Linked DNA regions of Caenorhabditis elegans. The protein of the gene in region 1 purifies or fractionates together with the protein of each later gene. This does not show direct contact. Each region holds a gene or a part of one and is shown on either strand. Other genes may lie near its edges.

The links. Proteins that work in one complex are often made in the same cells at the same time.
Region 2: the proteins of smg-2 (region 1) and paa-1 purify together in Caenorhabditis elegans (affinity purification with western blotting, with the first as the bait; one study listed by BioGRID). This does not show direct contact.

What each region holds. Positions count from the first base shown.
Region 1 is NC_003279.8:1,173,254-1,181,589, forward strand, and holds the start of smg-2 (Regulator of nonsense transcripts 1), read left to right. Parts: upstream 1-3,219; 5' UTR 3,220-3,221; coding exon 3,222-3,368; intron 3,369-4,624; coding exon 4,625-5,166; intron 5,167-5,749; coding exon 5,750-6,138; intron 6,139-6,993; coding exon 6,994-7,934; intron 7,935-8,336. Other genes in the region: haf-6 (Mitochondrial potassium channel ATP-binding subunit), read right to left, coding at 555-842, 2,131-2,374, 2,436-2,500. UniProt on the Caenorhabditis elegans protein: RNA-dependent helicase required for nonsense-mediated decay (NMD) of aberrant mRNAs containing premature stop codons and modulates the expression level of normal mRNAs.
Region 2 is NC_003281.10:5,447,317-5,453,637, reverse strand, and holds paa-1 (putative serine/threonine-protein phosphatase PP2A regulatory subunit), read right to left. Parts: upstream 2,909-6,321; 5' UTR 2,898-2,908; coding exon 2,389-2,897; intron 2,338-2,388; coding exon 1,478-2,337; intron 1,431-1,477; coding exon 1,213-1,430; intron 1,160-1,212; coding exon 1,080-1,159; intron 1,036-1,079; coding exon 944-1,035; intron 890-943; coding exon 876-889; 3' UTR 501-875; downstream 1-500. Other genes in the region: F48E8.4 (MRH domain-containing protein), read right to left, coding at 1-32; F48E8.8 (Hsp20/alpha crystallin family protein), read left to right, coding at 3,826-3,906, 4,002-4,118, 4,164-4,284, 4,440-4,625, 4,673-4,800; skpt-1 (F-box domain-containing protein), read left to right, coding at 5,395-5,473, 5,517-5,598, 5,646-5,970, 6,014-6,300. UniProt on the Caenorhabditis elegans protein: Acts as a scaffolding protein for phosphatase let-92 and its regulatory subunits.

The sequences.
Region 1 (8,336 bases):
CCGACAATTCCTTATAAATACAGAAAGATGTGCGCCTTTAAAGGTTACTGTAGTTGTAAAAATTATTTTTTTCCCACGATTTCGGGAAAAAAATTCGCAGAAAGGAAAAGCTCGAAAATACAGTAGTACCCTCTTTAAAGGCGCAGATTGATTTATACCGAAAAATTGTCGTGTCGAGACCCTGTATTTTTGTTCTAAAAAAGTTAAAATTGAAAAAAAGGAAATCCTGTTTTTTTATCTGAAAACTGCCAAAAAAATCAAATTCAAAAATCAAACATTTTAGAGTTTTCCCTAATTAATTTTTCAAAAAGTTAAAGCAGAAAAATACTGAAAATTAATCAAAAACTAAAACAAATATTTGAAAAAAAAAAATTTTTTGGGACAATTTTTTTTTCGGGGATCAGGGGAAATTTTGGAGTCAATCCATCTTTAAATTGCAAAAAATTAAAAATGTCGAGTTTTCAAAAAGATTTTTTTTACTGAAAAAAACCGAAAAAATCGGAATTTAAAAAACTAGGCCACCAAAATTTCACCGCGGCCACCCACGCTCTTACATGAGAATCAAAAAATGCCATATCATGGTGCAATAGCTTCTGAAACAAGTCCGACCGCATTTTCGTCGCCATTCGTTCTCCGAGAACCGTTAAAAATGTGATATAAAGAAATGTGAGAGCAGATTGTGCAACATATAGTGTCATTAAGTGCAGAGCAGATGGCTTGAGCTGTTCAAAATGAGATCGTAAATTGTTCGACTCGTCCTTGATGATTTTCACGATTCCGTTCACCAAATCGCCCAGGCATAGTGGAATTTGAATGTTGATGTAGGCTGAGAGGATGGCGCACTGCAAAAAAAACTGATAATTTTTCTCAATTTTTTAAGGAAAAATTGACTAAAATTAAAATTTTTTTGTTTTTAAAATTTTTTCTGGTGAAATTCCGAAAAAATTACAAGATTTTCGTACAATTTAATGTAGAAATTAAAATTTTTAGCCCCCCAAAATAACTGAAAAACTTCAAATTCCGAGATTTAAAACAAAAATTTTGTAATTTTTTGTAATTTATCCGGACAAAACCGACTTTTAGCCAATTTTTTCTTTAAATGTGGACTCCACTCTGTGGGAAAATTGCTTTAAAACATGCCTATGAGGCCATAATGACCGAATATCATTAATTCGTATGAAATCAATGAAATTTCATAGTTAAATTGGAAAATGGCAACATTTTTGCTTAAAATTTGTAAAAAATCATGTTTTTTGGGCATTTTTGGTGATTTTCTTTCGATTTTTATGATATTTCGGCGGTTTTCACCCAATTTCATTAGAAAAAATTGAAAAAATCTCAGTTTTTGCCTAATTCCTAATTGAATTTCCGCCAATTGGATTCGTTCGTTGGAGCGCACTTGCATTATTTTCATTAATTTTTTAAAATTATTTTTTATTATTTCACTGATTTTCTTCATTATTTGTGCATTTTTATCGGAAAAAAGAACTGAAAAAGCAAGAAAAATACAAAATGTTTGTTAAAAAGTAACTGAAAATGCGTAAAACTGTGATTTTTTGAGTTCTGAGGACGACGAGCCTGAAATTTGTATTATTCATGGAGTTTTAGGTATTTTTAGTCACTTTTTCATAAACATTTTGCATTTTTCTTGTTTATTTCGTTCATATTCCGATCAAAAACCCCTAAAAATGAAGAAAATCAATGAAATAATGATAAAAAAAATAATGCAAGCGCGCTCCACCGAACAAGTTCAATTGGCGGAAATTCAAATAGGAATTAGGGGAAAACTGAGATTTTTTCAATTTTTTCTAATGAAATTGGGTAAAAACCGCCGAAAAATCATAAAAATCGAAAGAAAATCACCAAAAATGCCCAAAAAACATGATTTTTTACAAATTTTAAGCAAAAATGTTGCCATTTTCCAATTTAACTATGAAATTTCATTGATTTCATACGAATTAATGCGGAAATTAAAGTTTTTTTGCTGGAAAATTGACAGGAAACCTGAAATAAAATTAAAAAGCAAGATTTTAGGTGAAAATTGCACAATTTTTTGTAAGTTAACTATAAAAATACGTATTTTTCTCGATTTTTCCCAGTTTTCAACCGGATTTTTATCGAAAAATTCACCACAACTGCAGCGAAAAACCAGCCGAAAAAGGGTTTAATCAAATTCCACAGCTCTCCGGCCGTCATTGACGCATTCTGATCCTCCGTCGTCCTCAAATGGTCGATGCGTTTGCTCAATTTCGGAGCACATGCCGCTTTTCGTAGGGTTACAGCTCCTAAACCGGCTCCAAACCCACAAATTCGCCATGTTTTGAGTATTGTTGTCCTTGAAATCGGTTTGTGAAGCCATGGATAGCTGGAAAAGCTGCAAAAAACGGGAAAATATATGGAAAAATGGAAAATCAGCAGATTTTTGCAGATCTTACCAGTGTTTGCTGCTTTGCACGGCGCTTTTGATGGATATTTGGGATAGTTTAGATAGAATTGACATTAAAAACCAGGAAAAATCAATACAAATCAATAAAAATCAGTTCTTATCAGCGATTTTTTCCGATTTTCCAAGAAAAATAATAATCGAGAAAACATAAACTCCGTGCGGCACACTTGCAAAAACCGTGCGCCCACCTTGCAATGAGGTGTTTTTATCATATTTTTTCATTTTTCGACCGTTTTTCGCAATTTTTTCTAACAAAACCTCATTTTTTGTATGAAAATGTTGAAAAAATATGCATTTTCATGGTTAAATTGTTAAAAATCACACAATTTTCGCTTAAAATCATCTAAAATGATGAAATATTGCTCATTTTAAAAGTTGGGGGGATTTTTCAGTTTGTTTTTCAAATTTGAGCTCAAATTTTAGGCATTTTTACCTTTTTCCGATAAAAAGTGAGCGGAAATTGAAAATTTTCAATTTTAATTGTTGAAATTTCCAAAAATGCACCCGCTTTGTGATTAAATTAACACAGTTCTCATTTTCGAAGGTTTTCCGCCAATTTTCGGCAAAAATGTTGAATTTTTACATGAAAAATCTGCAAAAATAAGTGTAAAAGTGGTAAAAAATTACGAAATATTGCTCATTGTTAGATTTTGCAATTTGAAAAATGCTTTTTTGTACTTTTTTCACCTATTTTACTCGAATACCGACAAATTTCTCATGAATGCTATCGATTTCTCATTCCAAAACCCCTCAAAAACGCACTTTTCTTCCAGTAATGGACGATTCGGACGACGAATATTCGAGAAGCCACGGGGAAACCCTCACATTTGTGGATCCCGAGGACGATGGAGTCTCTATTGGGAACACGCAGGACTCTCAGTTCGCCTATGAGCAGTTTAGTGTGCCTACGCAGAGTTCTCAGGTAGAAAATTGCCGCATTTGTGTCAAAAAATCGAAGGAAAATTCTGGATTTTGCTGAAAAATCAAGTTTTTCACATGATTTTTCAGAGAAATTTGTATTCAAAATCCTTTGAATTGATAGACTTTACACACTGAAAAAAACGATGAAAATCATGAAAAAAAAACCACTCGAAAATGGACAAAACCGATGGAATTTGTGATTTTTATTTTCAATTTTTGTTCGAAAATGAGTATAATCCCGTCAATTTGCAATTTTCAGATGCTTTTTTGCCCACTTTGCCCAATCAATTTTTCGTGCAAATTTCAAGAAAAATCGATCCAAAAGCTCGAAAAAATTAGATTTTTGTGCAAAAATTGCAAAATTTTTTGAATTTGGCCATTTTCGATTAGTTTTTCTTGTAATTTTCAAGAAAACAAACCGTCCAATTTTTTTTGGAGATGTTTTGTGATATAAATTATCTTTTCCAACAATATCAACGATTTTCTAGAAGCTCAACGTTAAAAAAGGTTAGAAAATTAGATTATACTATTACGGGAACACAAAATTCTGAGAATGCGTATTGCACAACATATTTGACGCGCAAAATATCTCGTAGCGAAAACTACAGTAATTCTTTAAATGACTACTGTAGGTCGATTTACGGGCTCGATTTTCATTTTTCCTTCGCCAAAATCGAGATTCCGTAAATCGACACTACAGTAGTCATTTAAAGAATTACTGTAGTTTTCGCTACGAGATATTTTGCGCGTCAAATATGTTGTGTAATACGCATTCTTAGAATTTTGTGTTCCCGTAATAGTATAATCTAATTTTCTAACCTTTCTTAACGTTGAGCTTGCTCTGGAAAAGATAATTTATATCACCAAAAACTTGTTTTAAAAAGAATTTTTCTCATTCCTTACTGTCAGGAATCTTGGAAATTGTGATTTTTTTTTCCAATATTTTTGTTTATCGCAATTTTCAGATGATTTTTGAGCACTTTGCCCACAATTTTTCGTGCTAATTTCAAGAAAATCGACCCAAAAGCGTACAAAAAATTCCAAGAAAATTCCAAAGCAATTTTAAAAATTCGACTCTCAAAAAAAAACACCTATTCCAGGCGACAGATCTTAATTTTAAATAAATTTTTATTCAAAATCCTCTGAAAGTGGAAATTTCAGTGGAAAAAAACCAAGAAAATCATAGAAAAGTCCCTTAAAATCAATTTTTTTTGTCAATTTTTCAAAATTCTCAACAAAAAAAAACCCATATTCCAGGCGACAGATCTGCTGCCAGGAGGAACCGATGGAACCACCAACGATTTGCCATTTCACGACGTGGAAGACGACGAGTCGGACAGTGAAAAATCACTGACAGAAGAGCAGCAGCAGCAGAAGCTGCCGGAGCACGCGTGTCGCTATTGTGGAATCTCTGATCCTCTGTGTGTCGCCAAATGCACAGTCTGCAGGAAATGGTTCTGTAATTCCAATGATGGAACGTCGGGCGGGCATATTGTTCATCATATGGTTCGGAGTCAGCATAAGGAAGCCTACACGCATAAGGATTCACCGTGTGGTGACACTCAATTGGAATGCTATCGTTGTGGTTCGAAAAACGTGTTTAATCTCGGCTTCATCCCCGGAAAAAAGGATCAAGTCGTCGTGATAATCTGTAGAACACCGTGCGCCAGTATTGCATTCCAGAATGATGATAATTGGTCGCCCGAGGACTGGAAATCTGTAATCGCTGAAAAACAGCTGCTATCGTGGATTGTTAATGTGCCCAGCGAGGAGCAGGTGGCCAGAGCTAGGAAAATCACGTTAGTGGAGGAAAATCGATTTTTGAGAAAAATTTTAAAATAATAATTAAAGGAATTTCCAACCAAAAATGCAATTTCCGAGCGATCGAATTTTAACAATTTTTAACTAAATCTCGCCGTCCATCGACTTTAAAATACCTAAATCGAGTTGAAAACGCAAGATAATTAAATTGTATACTCAAAATTTGACGGTGGTTACAAAAAAAAAATAGTTTCCAGCCGCTTTACAAGTCGGTCAAATTTCAAATTTTAACTAATTTTAGGCCATTTTTTGAACCGTCATAACTTGTTTTTTGAGAAGTTTCACTATGAAATTCGGTGTTTTCTGAGTTGAATAAAGCAATTTTAAAAAATTCGACTACACCACCTTTAATATTTCTATAGCTTCGATTTTTTTGTTGATAAAAAATCTATTCCCAGTTTCCAAAAGAAATTGAAAATTGAATTTTTTTTCGAATTTTCGTGCAAAAAATTCTCAATTTCTACCGGCATTGGTGCAAAAAGCCGGAAAAACACAAGTGGTATAGTACTTTTAAATAGCTATATATATATATATATATATATGAAAAACTAAATTTTCCAGTGCTACCCAAGCAGTCCGAATGGAAGAGCTCTGGCGTGATCACCCAGAAGCAACCGTTGACGATTTAAATAAACCGGGACTCGATCGAGAACCGGATCATGTTCAATTAAGATATGTGGATGCTCATCACTATTCGAAAGTGTTCCGTCCATTAGTTGCAATTGAAGCAGAATATGATCGAAGAGTTAAAGAATCAGCATCACAAGCAGTCGGAACTGTTAGATGGGAACAAGGACTTCGTCAATCGGTTCTCGCGTTCTTTCATCTTCCACAATTTGCTGATGGTGTCATGAAGCTTGCGAAAGGCGATGAACTTCGATTGAAACATTCTCAGACGGTTGATGGATCGGAATGGACCAAGATTGGAAGTGTTTTCAAGATTCCTGATAGTAAGGGATGGGAAAAATAAAAATAAAAATTTTGAGTAGTTTTTCTTGGAATTTTCAAGAAATAACTGTCCAAAATTTTTTTTTTGGAGATTTTTCCTGATATAAATTGTATTTTCCAGTAATTTCAACGATTTTCCAGAAGCTGAAAAGGTTAGATATTTAGTTTATACTATTACGGGAACACAAAATTCTGAAAATGCGTATTACACAACATATTTGACGCGCAAAATATCTCGTAGCGAAAACTACAGTAATTCTTTAAATGACTACTGTAGGTCGATTTACGACGCGCTTGATTTTCATTTTCACACGAACGAAAAAGTGAAAATCGAGCCCGTAAATCGACGCTACAGTAGTCATTTAAAGAATTACTGTAGTTTTCGCTACGAGATATTTTGCGCGTCAAATATGTTGTGTAATACGCATTTTCAGAATTTTGTGTTCCCGTAATAGTATAAACTAAATTTCTAACCTTTTGAGCTTCTGGAAAATCGTTGAAATTATGGGAAAGTACAATTTACATCACCAAAAATCTGCAAAAAAAAAAATTTCGGTCGGTTTTTTCTTGAAAATTACAAGAAAAACTACTCGAAAATGACCAAAATCAATTTTTTTTTGAGCTTTTTTAACTTTAAATTCTTCGGAAAAATTTTTTTTCCCGCTTTTGGATCGATTTTTCTTGAAATTAGCACGAAAAATTGGGCAAAGAGCTCAAAAATCATCTGAAAATTGCAAATTTACAACAAAAAAATCACAAATTCCATCGTTTCTGGCCATTTTCGAGTGGTTTTTCTGTGAATTTCAAGAAAAATTGCACAAAAAGCTCCAAAAAATTTCACGTTTACAAATTTGCAGACCACGGCGACGAGGTAGGCATCGAAATCCGCGGAGCTGTCGACAAATCAGTGATGGAGAGTCGGATTATGTTCACCGTCGACGTCGTCTGGAACGCCACCACCTTCGAGCGACAGTACAAGGCTCTTGCGGCGCTGCTCAACGACTCCAAAGCAATATCTCCATATCTCTACCAGAAGCTTCTGGGTCATCCAGCCGAGGAAATGATGCTCAAGTTTGATCTACCGCGTCGGCTATCTGTCGCTGGACTCCCCGAGCTTAATAGCTCCCAGATGCAGGCAGTGAAGCAGGTGCTCACCCGACCTTTAAGCTTGATTCAAGGACCTCCGGGAACTGGAAAAACCGTAGTTTCGGCGACAATCGTCTATCATTTGGTGCAGAAAACCGAGGGAAACGTGCTCGTGTGCTCGCCGAGCAACATCGCCGTCGATCACTTGGCCGAGAAGATTCACAAGACGGGATTGAAGGTTGTGAGGCTTTGTGCGAGATCTCGAGAGCACAGTGAGACTACAGTACCCTACTTGACGCTTCAACATCAGCTAAAAGTGATGGGCGGTGCGGAGCTTCAGAAGCTGATTCAGTTGAAAGATGAAGCCGGGGAGCTCGAGTTTAAGGATGATTTGAGATATATGCAATTGAAAAGAGTCAAAGAGCATGAGCTTCTCGCCGCCGCTGACGTCATCTGTTGTACGTGCTCATCGGCGGCTGATGCGAGATTGTCGAAGATCCGTACGAGAACTGTGCTCATTGATGAGAGCACACAGGCGACAGAGCCCGAGATTTTGGTCTCTATTATGAGAGGAGTCAGGCAATTGGTTTTAGTTGGAGATCACTGTCAACTGGGACCGGTTGTTATATGTAAAAAGGCGGCGATTGCCGGATTGAGCCAATCTTTGTTCGAGAGACTTGTGCTTCTCGGTATTCGACCGTTCCGGCTTCAGGTTGGGTCATTTTCGGGAAAAAACTACTGAAATTCGGCATTTTAAATTGAACTTACTGAAAATTATCACTGAACCTTTAAAAAATCGATTTTCTACAACTCGGACTCTAATTTTTGAAAAATTTTGTTTGAATTTTATGAAGGTTCAGATATTTTCAGAAAGTTTACAAGTTTTCTACGAGATTAAAAAAATCGAACCAAAATTTACTTTGTAATTAAAGGTGGAGTAGCGCCAGTGGGGAAACTGCTTTAAAACATGCCTATAAGGTCACAATGACCGAATATCATGATAAAAAAATTTAAAATGTTTTTCTAAATTTTATATGATTTTTTAAAAATTGAAAAAATCTCAGTTTTTGCCTAATTCCAATTTGAATTACCGCCAATTGGATTTGTTCGATCG
Region 2 (6,321 bases), on another chromosome or scaffold:
AGCAGGAATAGTTGGAGGAAATAAATTATCATCGTCTTGGCATAGCACCTGCAAAGAGAAACTACGTAAACAATTCTCCGATTGAATTGAAAAATTGAAAAGTAAATGCGAACAGTTTTTTAATTGGAAAAAATAATTTTGGCAACGAAAACTTCTAGCCACGTGGCAAAATCTGAGCACTGGAAGTTTCTGAGACAATCAATCGGGAAACTGCGCGTTTAATATAAATTTATGCCCGCTCTTTGCCAGCTGGATTTGCCAAACGGCCAAAAAGATGGTTTCAAAGTTCCAAATGGCAAAAGTAAATTTTTTATTTGAATGAGACGTTTCACAACGCTTGCAACTTGAGCAATATTTAATCCACGTTGCAAAAGCACCGAGATTCTCTGCTCAAAAGCTTCTGCGACGTGGCATACGCCGGATAACACCATTATTCCAAATATTTTCAGAGATTTCAACCACACTGATCTAACCTAACCTGAGACCTTTTTTCTCATAATAGACGATGACCTTTTATTCTGCAAAAAAAATAAATGAATGAATGGGTCGCAATGGAAAAAGTGGTGATTGTGTGTGGTGGAAAAAGAACAGAAAGAAGTAGGATGGTGAAATATACGGGATAGAAGTGGGAGGAAAATGAAAATAATCATAAAGAGAGGTCGCATAATTTAACGATTATAATTTGTATTGTTTTGTTGTGGGAGGGACGGTGGTTAGAACTATTACAATACAGAGTTTTGTCTCGAGGGCTAAACATTTACAAATGAATGAGGAGAGATAGAGATTATTCGCGTGCTCGGGAACAAAAATGGAAAAATAAGACGATTGAGAAGTGGAAGATGTAGAGATTCCAATTTGACTAGCGATATGTTCGATTACAAGCCGAGTGCTGAAAATGTTCAATTTCAAATTCACTCTAAATTTTAAGACAACTGAAACTTACAGTTCTTGGCTTCCTCTGAAAAGTATCGAACGTCAAAGTCTGAATCTTTTCCGAGCTTCTCGAGCAGTGGCTTCACCTCGGACGTCAATGTACTGAAAATAGAAAATTGGGATAGTGAAAAAGATTTTCCTGTCACCTTGGGGTCAAGTTCTTTCCAATTCGCTTCAAACTCTTTGCGGCGTTGAATCTGACATTCGGCACGTCATCCTCGACAAGCTGAAATTAGAAAAATTACGATTTCTTTAAATAAAAAAGTAAAATTTCCCTACATCTTTCACAATTGGCATAATCTCCTTCAGAATCTGCTCCTGAGTCATCGCCTCACTGAGTGTATTCAAACAGAACAAGCATGTCATTCTCTGCAGGTAGTTGGTGTCCTTCTGAAGTTTCTGCATTTTTGGTACAATATTCGTGCTAGCCCATTGTCCTCCAAACTTCTGTGTCAGTTCCTTCATGATGAGGGTCGATGCCTCGCGGATTGAGAACACTGGAAAAAATTAAATTAAAAACATTTTTAAGAAAAAATCAAGTTACCATGGTCGGTAAGCCAGTTCAAACAAAGCGGAAGCAACTTCTCATCGAAGAATTCTTGTCCCAACTGGGAAGCAAGAAGTGGCATGAATTGAACAATTGCGAGTCGAACTCTCCATTTTCCATCCTCGGCCAATCCAACGATGGCTGGCAAGAGGGATGTGGACAATTGAGCTGCTCCGATCACTTCATTGACCTTATCAAGACTGGAAATAATATTGAGGCGAACTTCTGGGGTTTGATCGTTAAGCAACTGCATGTAGATTGGGAGAAGCTCAGAGACAGTTTGTTCCTTGCCAATCAGTGGAGCAAGTCCCATGATGACACCGGCGAGTTCCGACTTGACGAGCTGATTCCCATCAGTAACCAATTCCTTGGCAACGTTGAGCAGTGAGTTGCAGATAATGTTCTGACGCTTGTCCTCTGGCAAGTTGAGAGCGAATTCCTGAAGTCTCTGAGTGGCAGCACATCTAACCTCACCCTCTGGATCCTTGAGAAGGTTCGTGTACATGTTAACGAGATGTGTGGTATCCATATCCTCACCGAGGACATTCTGAATCTCGATAAGCTTCTCGGCAACCATATAACGAACTCTCCACGACTTGTCATCGAACAATTCAATGAGAATTGGCTCGATGAGTTTCTTCTTGTTAGCCTTATCGAGGAGAGTTCCGAAAGCGATGGCTGACTCGACAGTGAGCAAACGAACAGAATCTTGCTCATCAACATGAAGATCAGTGAGACTGGAGTGGAGACCCTCGATGACGGCAGTCTTCTCAAACACCTTTGCGAACTCTCCGAGCTTTGCAGCAGCAGCACGGCGAACCATTGGGGTGTCATCACGGCACAGGGTTCGGAACATGCTGAAAATAATTAATTTAGATTGCTTTAGTTATTCTTTTCTTAATTCTCACCTCTTCAATTCCGACTTGATAGCTGGACTGACACGTGGATAAACAACAGAGAAAAGCCCACAAGCCGAGGTACGGGATGTGAACCAGTCTCCAGTGGCCAAACGTCTGAGCATCGGCACGAAATGCTCCTCCAATGAGGCCGAGCTGTGCTTGTCGGCGATTTTGCGGAGACTCTCAACGGCTTTGTCACGGACCACGGTCTCCTCGACTGTGGCCAAGTTCTCAAGTGGAAGGAGAAGACAATGAACATGATCTGGACCACCGACCAATGGAGTGAAATTTCCGAGTTGCTCGGCGAGCACAAGCAGAACCTCATCTTCGTCGTAAATCGTGTCGGTCAAAAATTGGATGAGCTCGTTGCGTGTGCGCTCCACACCCAACGCCAAAGCGATTGTGGAGAGTTTGCGAATGCTGTTCAGTCGCAACGTGACATCTTCGTTGCGCAGCTCGTCAATGAGCACGGCAATCGGGTAGAGCGCGTCGTCAGTGGCTTCTTCGACAACCGACATGATGAAGAGTGCTGAAATTTGTTTTATGAAAATTAATCTCGCGGCTATTCAAAGGAGAAAGAACGGGAAGAGAAACGGATTATCATCGGGCATGAGGAGAACAAGAGAGAGAGAGGAGACGCAGTGAAGATAACACAGCAATGTGTTGAAATATTGATTACCGGGTGGTTTTTGGAGAAATAAATTGGAGAGAAAATAGAAAAATTGAGTATTTTGAAAGAACTTGCAGAATCTACGAATAGTCATCTTTGAATATCTGATATTAAGAAAATTAAATTCAAATTTAAGAATGTTCAGTGCTAGAAAACATATTTTTGTTGAAACATTATTATTTCTGTACGAAAATATAGAAAATCAATGAAATGGAATTGTTCAAAGAAGAAGAGTGTGATTTTTAAAGAAACTATTGGAATTTTCGAGAAATCAGTGAAAAACTCTACCACGTGGACAATATTTTCACTGATCTTTCGAAAATCAACTCTGAAACTCGTGAAATTTCGATATTAAGAAATCGCTATAGTGAACCTGACGAACATGCAAAAAAAGAGCGGCGAAAGGAGAAGAAGAGAAACAGCTGCGACAGTGATACGCAGAGAAGCAGAGAACGGCCATCTCTCTCTCACTGCAATAGCACAATCCATCGCGCCTGCGGTCGTAGAGCTCTCATCGATTTGTCGTCGGTTTCGGTGTACTGGACGTGGCGACGACAGAGGGAACAGCGCCGGAAAATGACTGAAAATGTCCTTAAAATAGAATATTTTCAGTGTAGAAGGGAGGATGAAAACACAGGCATCACGTGATTAGTGAACAGCCAGTTTTTTTCTGATATTTAAACAATAAAAAGGCTGAAAATTAATTTGATTCGAATTTTCAGGCAAAACGCGTGGGCATGCTGTTAGAAGAACATCATTAAACATTTAAAATCATCATGGTTTCCTGGTTTTCAAAAATTTCAAACAGGCGAACAAAAGAGAAAAGGACGTCAAAAGCTTTAATAAAATATGCAAAAGTGAGTGCACAATCGAGCTTTTGGTTCTCATTTTTCGCAAAAGCGTGGTGCTCTAGTACGTATTCTTCTCATTAGCTCAGTTTATATATTTACAGAACAGTACAATGGGAGACGGTGCGAATGTGTTCAACACATTCAGCTTCAACAAATGGGCAGACGGCAAGCGTGAAGAGGAGATAGATAAGGAAAGTAGACGGCGACGAGCCGAGCAGGTTTGTGGTGGCTCTCCAAGGTGTATACTAGTGGCTTAATGACAGATTAAACGACTGAAGGAAAGGCTTCGAAAGGAGAGAGCACTGCGTGAGGCTCAAGGTGATGGAGATCTTGATTTGGATGCATTGATTGAGGCGTTACAAAGAGGAGAAGTTATCAATATACGTATGTCAAAATTATTTATTTTACTATTTAAAAACAGTGATAGAATCTTAATCACATCAGGTTTCTAATTGTTACTAATTATGTTAACTGTTCTTACAACCAAGATTTATAACATGAATAGAGAAGGATATTTGATAATTTGGATCCTATTTCAGCTCAACAAACCGATGTAATTGTAACCGAACCTATCGAGGAAACTTCTAAAAGAAAACGAGGGGTGCCAGATAATTTGTCAGATGATTATATCTTTAATGAAATAAATCTCTACGCAAATCGCTCGATCGGCTTGAACAATATTGCAGAGCCGGTGGACATAGCGCCTGTTCCACTACAAAAATTAGGTGAGGAAATTCAAGAAAAACCAATTTAAAATCTACTGTAAATTCAGATCCACTCTCCTTCCGTTATAATCGAAGAAATCAGAATAACGAAATGATCGCCAATGAGGAGCAAATTGTTCAACACCGGCCGAATAACTTCAAGTTTAATAGAATGATACAGGATATTCAAAAATGATTTTTTTTTTCGAAATGATTAATAAATTCTTATACTCTCTCCAAATGATCACAGCAACTAGGCAGAAAAAATGAAGGATGACTCAAACGTTTTAAATTTCGAAACTATTGGAACTAAATGTGTATTTCGGAATAATTAATAAAATGGATTTTAAAAAACTTGTCAACCTCTCACTTCCGAATACAACCAATCTTCGATGAATGAGACAAAAAAGTTGTTTTCAAGAAATAGTTTCAGATTCGACCCTTACTTTGCTTAAAGGTTATTTGGACTTATTTAAAAAGTTATATTACTTTTATTTAATCGTATTTTGATTTAAAAATGTGCGCTTTTGGTGGGAGAAACAAATAAAAATAGCGAAATATTGCAAAAAATAAAAAAATAAGGATAAAAATTGGCGAAAAATGTTCGAAAATTCAGATTTGCGGTGGAGCGCGTTTGCATTGCAAAAACTCGCGCCAACCTAAAAAAGATTACCGCGCCCGCGAGTTCATATTTATTCAAATCAGCCCTGTTTTGAATTTATTTCAAGCAGAAAGTGCTTTTTCCCTTATTTACCACCTAAATACTACACCTCATATCTACTCAAACAAAATGTCTCGTGTCATAGGAAGACTTCCATCAACTCTAGAAGATAACGGACCCTCTGAAAATGAGCATTGCGTGGAGACAGGTAATTGTGTGTCAAAATTCAAATATGATTGACTTTTTCAAAGTATTCTCAGATGAGACCATCTCCATCTTTCCATGCTACAACCTCTATCCAAAGAAAAGCCTCAGGCTTTCAGTTTCCGGAAAGTAAGCTGCAATTATCTCTTAATTTTCTTAATTTTACGACATTTCAGCTCCGAAAAGCTAAAGTCGATAAATCTGAATTGCAAAAATCTCGTAGAAGATGAAATCGCTCCGATCAAGCGAAAAGACGCACGCAGTATTCAGAATCCGTTCAAAAAGTACAGTATTCCCGATGAGATCACTGAACAAATCTTTTCCAATTTGAAAAAGAAGGATCTTCTCTCGGCGATGCTCGTCTGTCATCGTTTTTACGGAATCGGACACAAATCGAGAAATTGGATTATCACCGACGCCCAGGATCGTCCTATTTCCGAAATTTCACTGATTGCGTTGTCACAACGAAAAATCAAAGTTCTTCGTCTGGCAGGAGCTAAAGTGAGAATTTTATTTTATTTCCTATAAAACTAACTGTTTCCAGGCCGATCGAATCCTTCGTGCCGATGAACGGCTCGTCGAAGTTGCACTGCTGAGCACCTCCCGCTTGGAGCTTCTCGATCTCTCTCGCACTAATCTCACTGCCCGCCAAATGCAGATTATGTTGAAACCATGCCAGAAGCTCAAATGCTTGTCAATTGAAGGAAATCAATTGGATGACCACGTGGCAATATGCATTGCAGAGAATCGCGGGCTCCGCGAGCTCGACATCTCGATGACCAACGGAATCACGGCAAATGGAGCCAGTTTGATCTTCAGAAATTGCAAAGAGTGAGGGATTTTTTAAAACTT